3 linked regions of the Drosophila melanogaster genome follow. The gene in region 1 interacts genetically with each later gene. Each region holds a gene or a part of one and is shown in the gene's direction. Other genes may lie near its edges.

Evidence for each region.
Region 2: of sei (region 1) and slo, changing one suppresses a phenotype caused by changing the other (phenotypic suppression), as found in Drosophila melanogaster (one study listed by BioGRID).
Region 3: of sei (region 1) and rut, changing one suppresses a phenotype caused by changing the other (phenotypic suppression), as found in Drosophila melanogaster (one study listed by BioGRID).

What each region holds. Positions count from the first base shown.
Region 1 is NT_033778.4:24,045,366-24,049,121, forward strand, and holds the start of sei (seizure), read left to right. Parts: upstream 1-2,045; 5' UTR 2,046-2,139; coding exon of another isoform or gene 2,140-2,494; 5' UTR 2,495-2,560; coding exon of another isoform or gene 2,561-2,631; 5' UTR 2,632-2,638; intron 2,639-2,700; coding exon of another isoform or gene 2,701-2,895; intron 2,896-2,969; coding exon of another isoform or gene 2,970-3,085; intron 3,086-3,273; coding exon of another isoform or gene 3,274-3,341; intron 3,342-3,403; coding exon of another isoform or gene 3,404-3,468; exon of another isoform or gene 3,469-3,538; intron 3,539-3,756. Other genes in the region: tsr (twinstar), read right to left, coding at 1,301-1,303; gammaSnap1 (gamma soluble NSF attachment protein 1), read right to left, coding at 1,918-1,956, 2,140-2,494, 2,561-2,631, 2,701-2,895, 2,970-3,085, 3,274-3,341, 3,404-3,468.
Region 2 is NT_033777.3:24,660,872-24,664,627, forward strand, and holds the start of slo (slowpoke), read left to right. Parts: upstream 1-1,619; 5' UTR 1,620-1,692; intron 1,693-3,492; 5' UTR 3,493-3,756. Other genes in the region: Ppox (protoporphyrinogen oxidase), read right to left, coding at 1-854. UniProt on the Drosophila melanogaster protein: Potassium channel activated by both membrane depolarization or increase in cytosolic Ca(2+) that mediates export of K(+). Its activation dampens the excitatory events that elevate the cytosolic Ca(2+) concentration and/or depolarize the cell membrane.
Region 3 is NC_004354.4:14,824,238-14,827,993, reverse strand, and holds the start of rut (rutabaga), read left to right. Parts: upstream 1-1,920; 5' UTR 1,921-2,032; intron 2,033-2,088; exon of another isoform or gene 2,089-2,248; intron 2,249-3,066; 5' UTR 3,067-3,205; intron 3,206-3,756. Other genes in the region: CG14408 (uncharacterized protein), read left to right, coding at 1-206. UniProt on the Drosophila melanogaster protein: This is a membrane-bound, calmodulin-sensitive adenylyl cyclase. Inactivation of this cyclase leads to a learning and memory defect.

The sequences.
Region 1 (3,756 bases):
ATAAGTGAAGTTCAATGTTTTATGCCCACATAAGACACGAGGCACCCTGTACCTCACTGATGTACATATGTGCGTATGTAACTGACTGGCAGACATAACTGCCCACCTTCAGCTGACAGTATATCCGTCCCTTTTCGACTTTGCAATTTTATTTCTTTGATTGCCGGCAATAACAAACATAAAGGTAAATAATTTATGCTACTTTATTTGCATTGCCACCGCAGAACTTTTACCGGTTAAGGCGTGCGCACACTTGGCACGCCGATTTATCTGGGAGTGGTGGGCGTGGCACCATTTACAGTTAGATTTTCCTTTCTTTTTTTCCCGGCGCTCGGAAAGTTCAAGGGTAAGTTCACAAGTGCCGGCAAGTTTAAGGGTGAGAACAAGCCGACAAGAGGGAGAAAGAAAACTAAAAGGGAGGTGGCTGTTTCCCCACGATTTCGTTGCGCTCACAAAACGGTGGAAAATGCCCGATTTTCCATAATATTCGGAAAATGTCGAGAAAATCAAAATCGTCCCACATGCAAACAGTCGTCTGCTGCACACACACAGCTAAACATCATGTGTATGTATGTATGAACATCCGCAAGGCGGCAAGGAAACGATCACACCTTAAATATGTATGCCTGCAGATACATATATGGATATATATTGATACATATTTCTGTATGGTAATATGGACGTACATATGTACACACATTTTGCGTCTGCGAGAAAATAAGCATTAAGCATTGCCCCGCAGATACATACATACGCACATATTTATAGCCATCGAAATATAAAAAAAGCGGTATACCCACACACGCTCAAGTGTGTAAAAATATATATATGTATAGACATGAAAATCCAATGTGTGTGCATTTCTCTTTCCAACATTTCAATTTTTAATCGCTCCATTTTTCCAGCTGCCACTTTGGAGCATTCTTTCGCGATTGCCTTTCGCGAATTTGCCAGTTATGAGTGTGAGTGGCGGCTGAGAAGTATGAAACACTCCAATAAATGAGTAATATCCGCTGCTACCAATGACTAATTTGGTATATATGTATACGCACACATTCATGACCATGTATATGCCCGAATATGGCCAACGAACATATAGGCAAAAAAAAGTGGAAATATATGTATGATTGATATATACACACTTATCTAAATATGTATGTATATACAGATTTCAAAGGAGAGATGCTTATATGATTCATCGAATCGAAGACATTATTTGCACTCCACCTCGCTTCCAAAAGTGCACAATGACCGGCCGCTTTTACCACCGAGTCTGAATGCGAGTCCCAAGTGTACGTACCATTTTTCCTGTAGTTTTTCGCTTTCACAATTCTCAAATTGCTGCTTCGCCGAGTATATATTTTACAAATACTGTTTAACCTTCCGCCTTCTTTCACGAACAACCGGACGAATCAATTTGGTCGGTTATTTCGCACAGGTTAGGGTTGCCAGGCGCCGGCAAAGTATCAACATGCGTCGTGACGCGTCGCGACGTTTGTGAAGCGTTTGGAACGGTGAAATGGCACACTTTCGATCTTTCAAAATGTCAAATATTTTAGGGTGCTTTAAAATACATAGTATAGTTTGAGTTAATTTATTTATTTATATTAACAAATTGCACTATACTTTCGTGTAATAAAGCTGAAGATTTACAGATTTGAATCTTAACACATTCGCTGTTTTGGAACATAGAATATATATACATAGTTTACACTTATAGCTACAATTTATTACTTCAATATCAATTCATCCCAAAGCTAATGATATTCTTTGTTGTATAGTATTGATCTTAGTATTTATTAATTAGTACAACGATTGCGATGAAATTTGTATTTAACAGTTAATATAATATGTTAAAAGCGATATTATTAACGATAAATATATTTTGACTAACAAGCAGACCGAACATTAAGAAATTTAGCACAAGCCACCTTCGTCCTCGGCGTCGTTGGTTTCCTGCGAGAGAGAAAGAGAGAAAATACGAAATTCTTGTTAGCTATTTAGTTTACTGCTTCGCACTGTCCCAAGTCTTCTATCGACAACAAAGGCAGATTCAATCGCCTATCGATAACATCATAATAAGAGCCAAATTTACAAAACAAAAATTGCAAATTCCATTTTTAGAATAAAAATACTCACAGCAGCAGTGTCGCCAGCCTTCTTCTCCATCTGTATACCCTGAGGTAGTGGAATGTTTTTAGATAGAATAGCGTACTCAACATCCATATGTCGTATGAATGGGGATGCCAGCATCCTAGCAGCTAACTCGGGATCCTCGTCATCGAAGGCTTGCAGAAGGGTCTGCAGTGTGGACACTTCCTCTGGCTCGCAGCAGTTTCCCCACTCCCTGAAGGTCTTTTCGGCTTCCACGGAATCCCCGCGAGCCAGTTGGACCATCACCAAGGCCACAACTAGGCGTCCAATTTGTCCGTAAGATTCCGTTTGCTGATTCAAGCTGATCTCCTTTTTGAGCGCATTCGTGGCTTCGTCGTACCTGGAGTGATTGGATGATATAAGCTAAGGATACCCAAAGTGATTCGTTGCAATCATAGGTACATACCTCCTTAGTTTGACCAGTATCCTGGAAACTTTTGATGCATACTCGGCTGCTTGACGGACGGAATCCTCGATCTGTCGGGTAAGTATAAAATTAATAGTTTAAGAATGGAATTGACTAGAGCAGTGTCAAATAGGACGAACCATTATGACTTCTAGAGCATGCTGATAGAAGCGCAAAGCCATGTCAGGATGCTTGGATTCAGTTAACTTGGCGGCTTTATCCAAGGCGGATGCGGCTGCCTCTGGGGAACCGTGCTGTTGATACAAACTCGCCGATTTGTTGGCGTATTCCTCAACTTCGTGTAGCTTATCGGCATCCTTTGACAGCAAAATGATCTAGAAGATGTGCACATTTAGAGGGTTTAAATTTCCTATTAACTTCACTTATATTAACTTCAATTTAAGCTCACCTGTTCGTATGCCTTTGCAGCATGGAACCAAGACTTGTTGTTTTTATAGGCGTCGATTGCCTTCAGAAAACACTCCTTGCTCTTATCATAACTTTTAGCTATTCGATATGCAGTGGCTGCAATTAAAAATGTAAAAGAAAGATACATAATTGTACACCAATATGTGTGTATCTTGCAAGTTATGGATACTTTGGGATAATCGTTAGCTGTAATTCATAGTATTTACATATCTCATTGATGTCACAATGTTTTTATAGATAGATACTCTGGGTGATATTAGTCACTCCTACTTTGTGAAACTCACCAGCTTTGGAATACTCATCCGCAGCACTATCGTAATCAGGAACCCATTTCAGCATGGACAACTTCAAGCTGCAAATAAAGATGGGTGTTATTTGGAAACCCCTTTATAAGGATATTTTTGTTGGGGATACCTCTTCTCGGCCTGCTTCACCAGGTCCTCCGCTTCGGCAATCTTTTTGGCAGCGATTCCCGACATTTTCAACCACTTTTGTTTAGCAGGAAAAATCAATTGTTTACGTTTGAAAATAGTGTGACCGAATGCGAGAAGGAAAATAACAATGGTTCGAAAATCACGGTGGTTTCGAATCTTTGAAAACCGAAAGCAGTACGCATGTCTGAAAATTTCAGAAAAGCAAAGCCTGATTACACCGGGAAAAAAAAGTTGGTCTTATAAAGCAGTTGACTTCGAAATGAAAATGCCATGTATTTACATACATCTATTCATTTTTTTATTTTATCTATGATATTTAAAAAGTAGAGTATG
Region 2 (3,756 bases), on another chromosome or scaffold:
ACTTCGGCATCCTTGATGTTCATTCGAACCCCGGAGCTGCTGAAGGTCAGGTTCCGGCATTCGTTGCTTAGCTGCACGTTCACATCCCGCTCACCTAAGTACTTTCGCATAGTTTTGGGTAGGTTCTCCAGACCGCCTTTCAGCCCGTACATGGCCCACTTCTCCTTTACCGCCTGCGCATACAGCTTGGGCTGTCTTTCGGCAAATAGTCCATCCTTGGTGTCCTTGGTCTTGTTCTTCTCAAAGCGGGAAATGAGTGTGCCCTTGAGCACTCCTCCGTACTTCTGTTCCTTTTCAAAGAGCCCCTCCATCAGGAAGCGCACACTTATTTCTCGCGCGTCACCGGCGCAAATACCGCAGATCATGGGACTGATGGCGTAGTCGGCTATCTCCTTACCAAACCGCCGCTCAGCGAAACTGTAGATGCTCTCATCCTCCAGCTTCGCTTTCTTGCTTGCTGTGAACAGATCGCGAAGAACCGCTTTGTATAGCGGCTTCGTGAAGGGAGGCAGGACGCCGAAGAGACCCTTGGGACTGTTGGGCAGCATGCAGAGCTGTCCCTTGGCATACAGCATTCGGTTGCGTGCTGCGACATGACTGCGTCGAATGGGAGTCACCTCCAGCTTCAGATCCTCCACCAATTCTAGCGTATTGGCACCTGGCTCACCAACTGGGCGTATGGTTCGCGGTCCGCTCTCGAAGATGAAGTTGCGATCCTTGCGATTCTCCGACCGCACCCATCCGCCCACACGGGGCGAGGCCTCGTAGATGGTCAGCGGCTTCCCGAATCGCCGCAACAGGTAGTATCCGGCGGATAGTCCACTCAATCCGCCTCCCAGCACGGCCGTCGTCATGGTCCTTCTGCTGCTTCTCGTTGCTCCCGAATCCCTTAGAGGATTCAGACTAGTTCTGGTTTGCAGACGAAAAAATCTATGCCGGCTTCGATCGTTCAGACCAAAATAAACCCAGGTGACATAACTATCGTTGAAGCTATCGATAAGCTCAAATCCAAAATCGCTGAGCTTGCAATCGATGTTATATGCGATTGAAGAGTTTTGAATTGACAATTCTGCAGAAAATAAAATCAAATAAAGGAAGGGATAAATATTTTATAAAATAAATAGCATTTATTGTTATACTTATTTTGGTAACTACAGCTAACATAATATCTTATAATCGAAACAATGGTTTTAGAATATTTATTGTTAAATTATGTAAAGTTAAATAAAATATAGTGCAATTGATAATACTTAATTTAAGCATTGATACAAGAATACAAATGCATAGTACTTTTATTTGCCATTATTTTATCTCATTTAACATGCATTTGTGCACCCGTCCCAAAAGTATGCAATGAATTTCTTCCGACATTCCTCATACGCCACGTGTGCATCGTGCGGAAGTTCACTTGCACCTGCATCGGCACCATTACCATCATCATCACCATCACCGCGGCACTGGGTCATTCATAGTGAATGGGTTTTGGCGCCAGTTTTGATGAATCGAACGAAGCGTCCAGCCCGCACCAACCGCAGGACTCCGAAAAGCTCCCAAAGACGAGCTTGGGCCGTGCGGAAGTACATTGGGCCACCGATTTCCATGTCGTCGGAGTCGACATCGCGCAGAATTGTATACGCTGCTGACGAGAAAGGTTGGTCCTCGCGTTTGAGCGCGTCGCGTCTTTTATTCTGGGTGTGTGAGTGAGTGGACTGTGTGGAAAAGTGCCTATCGCGTATATGTATATTCACGGGACCCATACACACACACACAGCTGCAGCACTTGGAAATGTGAAAAATTTTCAAGCTGCGTTTGCCAATTACGGGGAAAATTGAGCAAAAAACGTCTTAAAATCCGGGCAATTATCGTGGCCATTTGCGGAACGGCAATTGTGCAAAATTCGGTATCCGTTGAAAACGGGCTCAGTGAACGTGAAAATGTGCCACACACACACTTACAACGCAGGAAATTCAATTAATTAGTGACCGAGTGTGTGTGTGTGTGTTCGCCCATAAAACGGCGATTGTGATTGCGAAAAAAGTGTTGCATACATAAAGGAGCTAAGAAGTGGACCAACGAGCAACACTAAAGGAAAACTCTTTAGAAATACAGTTTTTCGCTTTTTTTTTTGGCACTGCTGCAGGTTTTCATTTAAAAGATACATTTGTTGAAGTCAACACACACGGACACACACACATGCGCATACGGCACAGTTTTTCGTTCGTTTTTAAAACGAGCACACCACAAGTTCCCCAAAACGAAAGGACGAAGGGACCCGACCCGATGATAAAGTCGATGTTCCAGGCCGGAGATACACTTGTATCGTTCCCCTGCCTTTGCCGCTGCTGTCATCGTCAATGTTATTTTTGTTGCTTCCTACTCGTCGTCCTTCGTGTGTCGCAGGATACCTTGGTATATGTGTGTCAGTCAGTCACTGGCCGAGCGTGGGTGTGTGTGTGCGTGCGCCAGGATACGCAGATACCCAGATACCTACAAATGAAGCCACCAAATCCAGGCGAGTTCAATGCGCGGCCAGGACGAAGGACTAAGCTCTGTTTACATTGGCTCACGAATGCCCATTTTCCAAGCCCCCTGTATTTTCCGCCCGTTGGCGTGCCGTGGGAAATTGTGTCGCCTGCTTATTTATTATGAAAATGCAACTTTCATTTGACTCGGCATTTGTCCCGTTTCCATTGTTTGCAGGCACATTAGGCAGCTCGTTAAGCGCATGAAAGTGTGTGTCCTGCGGGTGTGCGAGTGTGTGTGTGTGACACGAAGGGGAACTAAAAACTAGGGCAGTGTGTTTCCGTTTCAACGACATGCCGCAGGCGAAAGAACGAGTCCGTCCGCAGGACAGCAAAGCCTCGCTAATCGGGCAGGAAATGAATAACTTAAAAAGTTACCAATGACAAGTTTGACATTAAATGTATCATATACAAATAACATGCAAACGAAAGTGATAATTGTAAAGCATGTTGTATATTGCCAAAAATTCTAGTTTTTGGTACCACATTGCGTATGCTTAACCAAAATGTGCGACTTTCGCAGGCAAGGAAAAAGCTTTCTGCCCGACAATTTTCGGATTCCCTGCATCGCGCAGCCGCCAATACGCCAGCAGCAATTGTGAGAAATTGAGAGAAATTCTCAGAGAATTCTCCGAGAACTGAGAATTTAAAAACGGCGAGAATAGTGCTGATTTTGCTTTCAAGTCTGCTTCGCATCTTTATTTATTTATTTACTTGACACGCTTGCTTTTCCGGCTACGGAAAATGGTGATACAATGTCTAAAATAATATTAATTTAATAGAATATATATACGAATACAAATATATACGTAATATCATTGACAAATGTCTGCGGTCGTAAAAAAATTAAAAACGCAAATAACGCTGACAGCCTAACTAAAAAATATAATTAATTACCGCGTTCGTCGCGCTGCCTTGGCAAATTAAAAAGTATTTAAATTATCGCTCAACTTAATAAATCTCTTGCAGCTTAACACACAAGGAAAAATTTCGTGGGCAAACAAAGCTAAATAAGTTGTGAAAGGAAACATGAGCAGTGTGACTAAGCGCAGTTTCTAATTTAACCAAATTCCAATTCAAATTCAAAAGAACGAACAACTATTGATCAAGACGGCAAAGAAAGAAGCAAACAAACCAAAACGCACAATGAAACTGATAAGCTTAACGCAGCTGATAACACAATGAAACTCATCCACGGATCCGAAATGCAATTATGAAATAATCAGCAAGCCG
Region 3 (3,756 bases), on another chromosome or scaffold:
TTGAGAATTTACTATTAAATCACTTGGTGGATGAGAATGGTGCCATTATAGTGGAGGAACTCAAATCGCCAACAACAACCACAAGCATGTACCACACACACCAACATCAACAGCAACAGCAACAACAACAACAGAATCAGCAGCAGAAGCAACAACAAAAGCAACACCACCAGGCACTAAACGTGGTTGGAGCCTTGCTGTTTTGAGCCGACAGCGAAATACCCTACACTTAGAAAAAAAAATCAACACCAAAACCGCCTCACCATCACACACACACACACACACACACATGAATGCGGTGATGGGAAAAGTCACTTTTAAATGAATAATTGCAATATAGTTCATAGATAATGATCGAAAGTGCCACAAGAAGTATTTAAAGTTTCAAAACTATGCACTATTTTTGAGCATTTTTGTAACGGAATTTTCGAAAGTACCTTTCTTCAATTTAGAAAACTCTTGTTTGGCCGCTGACACAACTTCCCCCATCACTGCACGCATACAAATATGAAAATTATGGCAAAATTTTACTCTATGAGTATTAGGGCATACTTACGATCGATCCAAAAAATCCAATTAGTCAAAAGCGTAGCGTACATATCATTCAAATACAAAAAGACATCAATCCCAGGTGGATCGAAATGGATGCGAGATGATGGATGAGCCAGCAGGAATCTTTTTAAATCCACACCAACGCACTCAGGCACGTGTGGCAAACTATGTTCTAATCCTAAATAAATGATGTGCAATAATTTAGTTTATGTAGTGGCATATACATAATTAAGAAAGTTACATTTTATGCTGTTTACAAAAAGCAAATAACTAAATGCTAGTCAACAAAAACGAAATCAGTTTAATAGTTTTAGTGTGTACGAGCTAAATATTCGGCAAAATGATTTACAAGAAACCCACAAAAATACATAAGAGTGTACAAATAATGGTAAATGTGGTGTGCACTGAAAGAAAACGAGGAGTGCGTTGACAATTCGCACCAAAAGCCGAATCAGCAATATTACTTTATGGAGACATTTGAAATACAAGCGACTTGCAAATTGTCCGCGAATTCTTCGGTTTTCTTCTGTTTGCGCCACTGAGTGTTAAATAATTGCATATATAAATACCTGCATAAAATTATATGAAGTGTATTATACAAAACTGAATGTTTCATTTCGAAAACTGGGCAGTTAGTGAATAAAATGGGGCTGCCATTTTTAATTGGTAACTATAAAGCTTTAGTTTCATTCTTTGTTATAATACGTAAAAAATCAACTTTAAAATTGACTAGTTTGTGTTATGTTATTAAATAATATAGCATTGCCTTTTAACGGTTTTCTATTTTAGAAATTTCATTTGACCACCATTCTTCAGCCTTTTGGTATTTTCTAGTTTAGTATTTCCTACCAAATAAAAAACTTATTCTATGATTATGCCCATTAATTTTTACTCAAATCCCATTTAAAATTTTTGATTAATTGGTGTATATTTTAACTTAATATTAAAAACTATATTCAAAATCAATAAGTAATCTATAATAACACAGTACCTAGAAAACCAGCTGATTGCTGATAATATGTAAGACATGGCGATAGACTTTTGAAAGCTTTTGCATTTCAACTTTTATTCGCCATACAAGTTGCATATAAGTGAACATGTACGCATTAAGATCAGGAACTTTAAAAACCACAACGTTCGATCTCCATCTATCAATTTGAAATTGGTATATATTGTAAATAACGCTGATAATAGGATTTAAAATCACACCAGCTGATATACGATATATCGATTGGGCTATCGCAAGCAGTGGCGCCCCATCTCTACGATAGTGCTTTCGCTGCACGCCGACGAACGCTTCGTGCAACTTCGTGCAGCTTCGTGCCACTCGGTTCGCAGTGGTTCGCTACGAACCGCCGACGGACGCTTTAGTTTGGCTGCAACGCTTTGCTGAGAACAGACCAAATCCGAAGCGAGCGGAGCCGAAGAGAAACCGAACAAACCAAACAAACCAAGCCAAACAATCCGAAGAAATCGCGTCGTGAGTTGTGTGGAAGGAAAAGCGGTTAAATAACGCGGCGATCTTAACTGTTGTTCTTCTTTTTTTTTTTCGGTGCTGGTGTATTTGCACATTCTACTTTTTTTTTCGTTCTATAAAGTGCCACTTTGTGTGTCTCGCTGGTCGTTTGTTTTCTTTTTGTCGTGGGAAATGCGCGCGCGCATTTAAGAAGTGGCAGGAAAACTCCAAACGCAGCTGGTAAAGATTCAAGTTTTCCAAAAAAAAAAAAAAAATAATAATAAAAGAAAACCAACAAGAAAAACCGAAAACCCAAAAAACAACAAAAAACACGAATGCATTGCCAGCAGATGATAAAGAAGGAGAGCAAGAAGAAGAGCGCACCGCGACGCCTTCTGCTGTTGTGGTTGTTGTTGCCGTTCTTGGCCGTGTTTGTTGTTGTCGTTGTTGCCGCTTTTATCTGCATTGTCTTGCGTCTTAACTCGTTTCGCTTTGGCCTTTTCGGCTCTCCTCTCTCCCCGTTTTCCACACTCCCCCACTCTTCTCATCATGCCAATGCGTGTGTGTGTGTGTGTGTGTGTGTGTGCCGTCCATGGATGCGCTTTGCCACTGGCTTTTCCCTCTCTTCTCCACGTTCCTCTGTCTCTTTGCCACACACACGCCTTTTTTCGGCTTACGGCGGCGGCAGCAGCGGCAACAACAACAACAACAAGCTGCCGCAAAAAATCGATAACGGTATTGGCAGCGGCGGCAGCACAAGAAAACGGCAACAACTTCCGCTTCCCCAAAAGTTGCAAAATGTCACCTGCCCCAAGGATTAGATAATCAAAAAGGGCACGCGAAGAGAGAGAGCAAAGAAAAGCAATAACCAAGGGAGAGAGAGAGAGAGAGAGTGTGTGGGAGTGGGCTTAGGCTTGGGCTTGCCACGCCCCCCGCCTTAAAGCGTGGCTGTCACAATTCTTGTTTTAATTAAGAGCCAAACATTCAATTACAACTCGCTTGCTCTCTCACTCGCTCCCTATCGCTGTCTCATTCGCACCCTCTTACTCTCCGCTCAGCCATCTATGCATCTTGGACCTACAACAACAATAATAACAACAACAACAACAAGAGATACAGAACAAGGAGGCAAAAAAGTAACAGAAGAAGAAGAAGCAGCAGCAGTCAACTTGCAACACAATCGTTGTTGCTTTTTGGGTAAGTGTTTTCCTTTGACGAAATTCAGTTTGAGATACTAAGATACTTTTGCATCTCTGAAGTACATATATACGTAGTTATGGATAAGATACACATGAAATCGGGAGAAGGTTGAAACGTTTTTATTCATTTTAATATTTAATACAAATTAGAATATGAGTAAAGTAAATATTATATTTTCTCAATACATGTATATAAAATTTAATATTTTATTGAAAAGAAAGAAAGAAAGAAAGAAAGCAAAAATAGAATGAAAAATATAATCGAAAATCCTATTTAAATAACATGAATATTATTATATATGTAGAACTGAAATTTTATCCAAAAAAGGAAAATAAAATTAATATTAGTACTAACTACTTATAGCGTTTTTCATAAACAATTATTATCTTTAAATTGTTGTTTAACTAGATTCCAGTTGGATATAACACAAATCCGTCAACTTTAACTGCTGATCGTTATTAGCTTACTTTTTATTGTTTCGATAAAAAGTAAGACTTTTAGTTTATGACCAATCATTTTTACGATGATCATACATTTATGGCTATTAA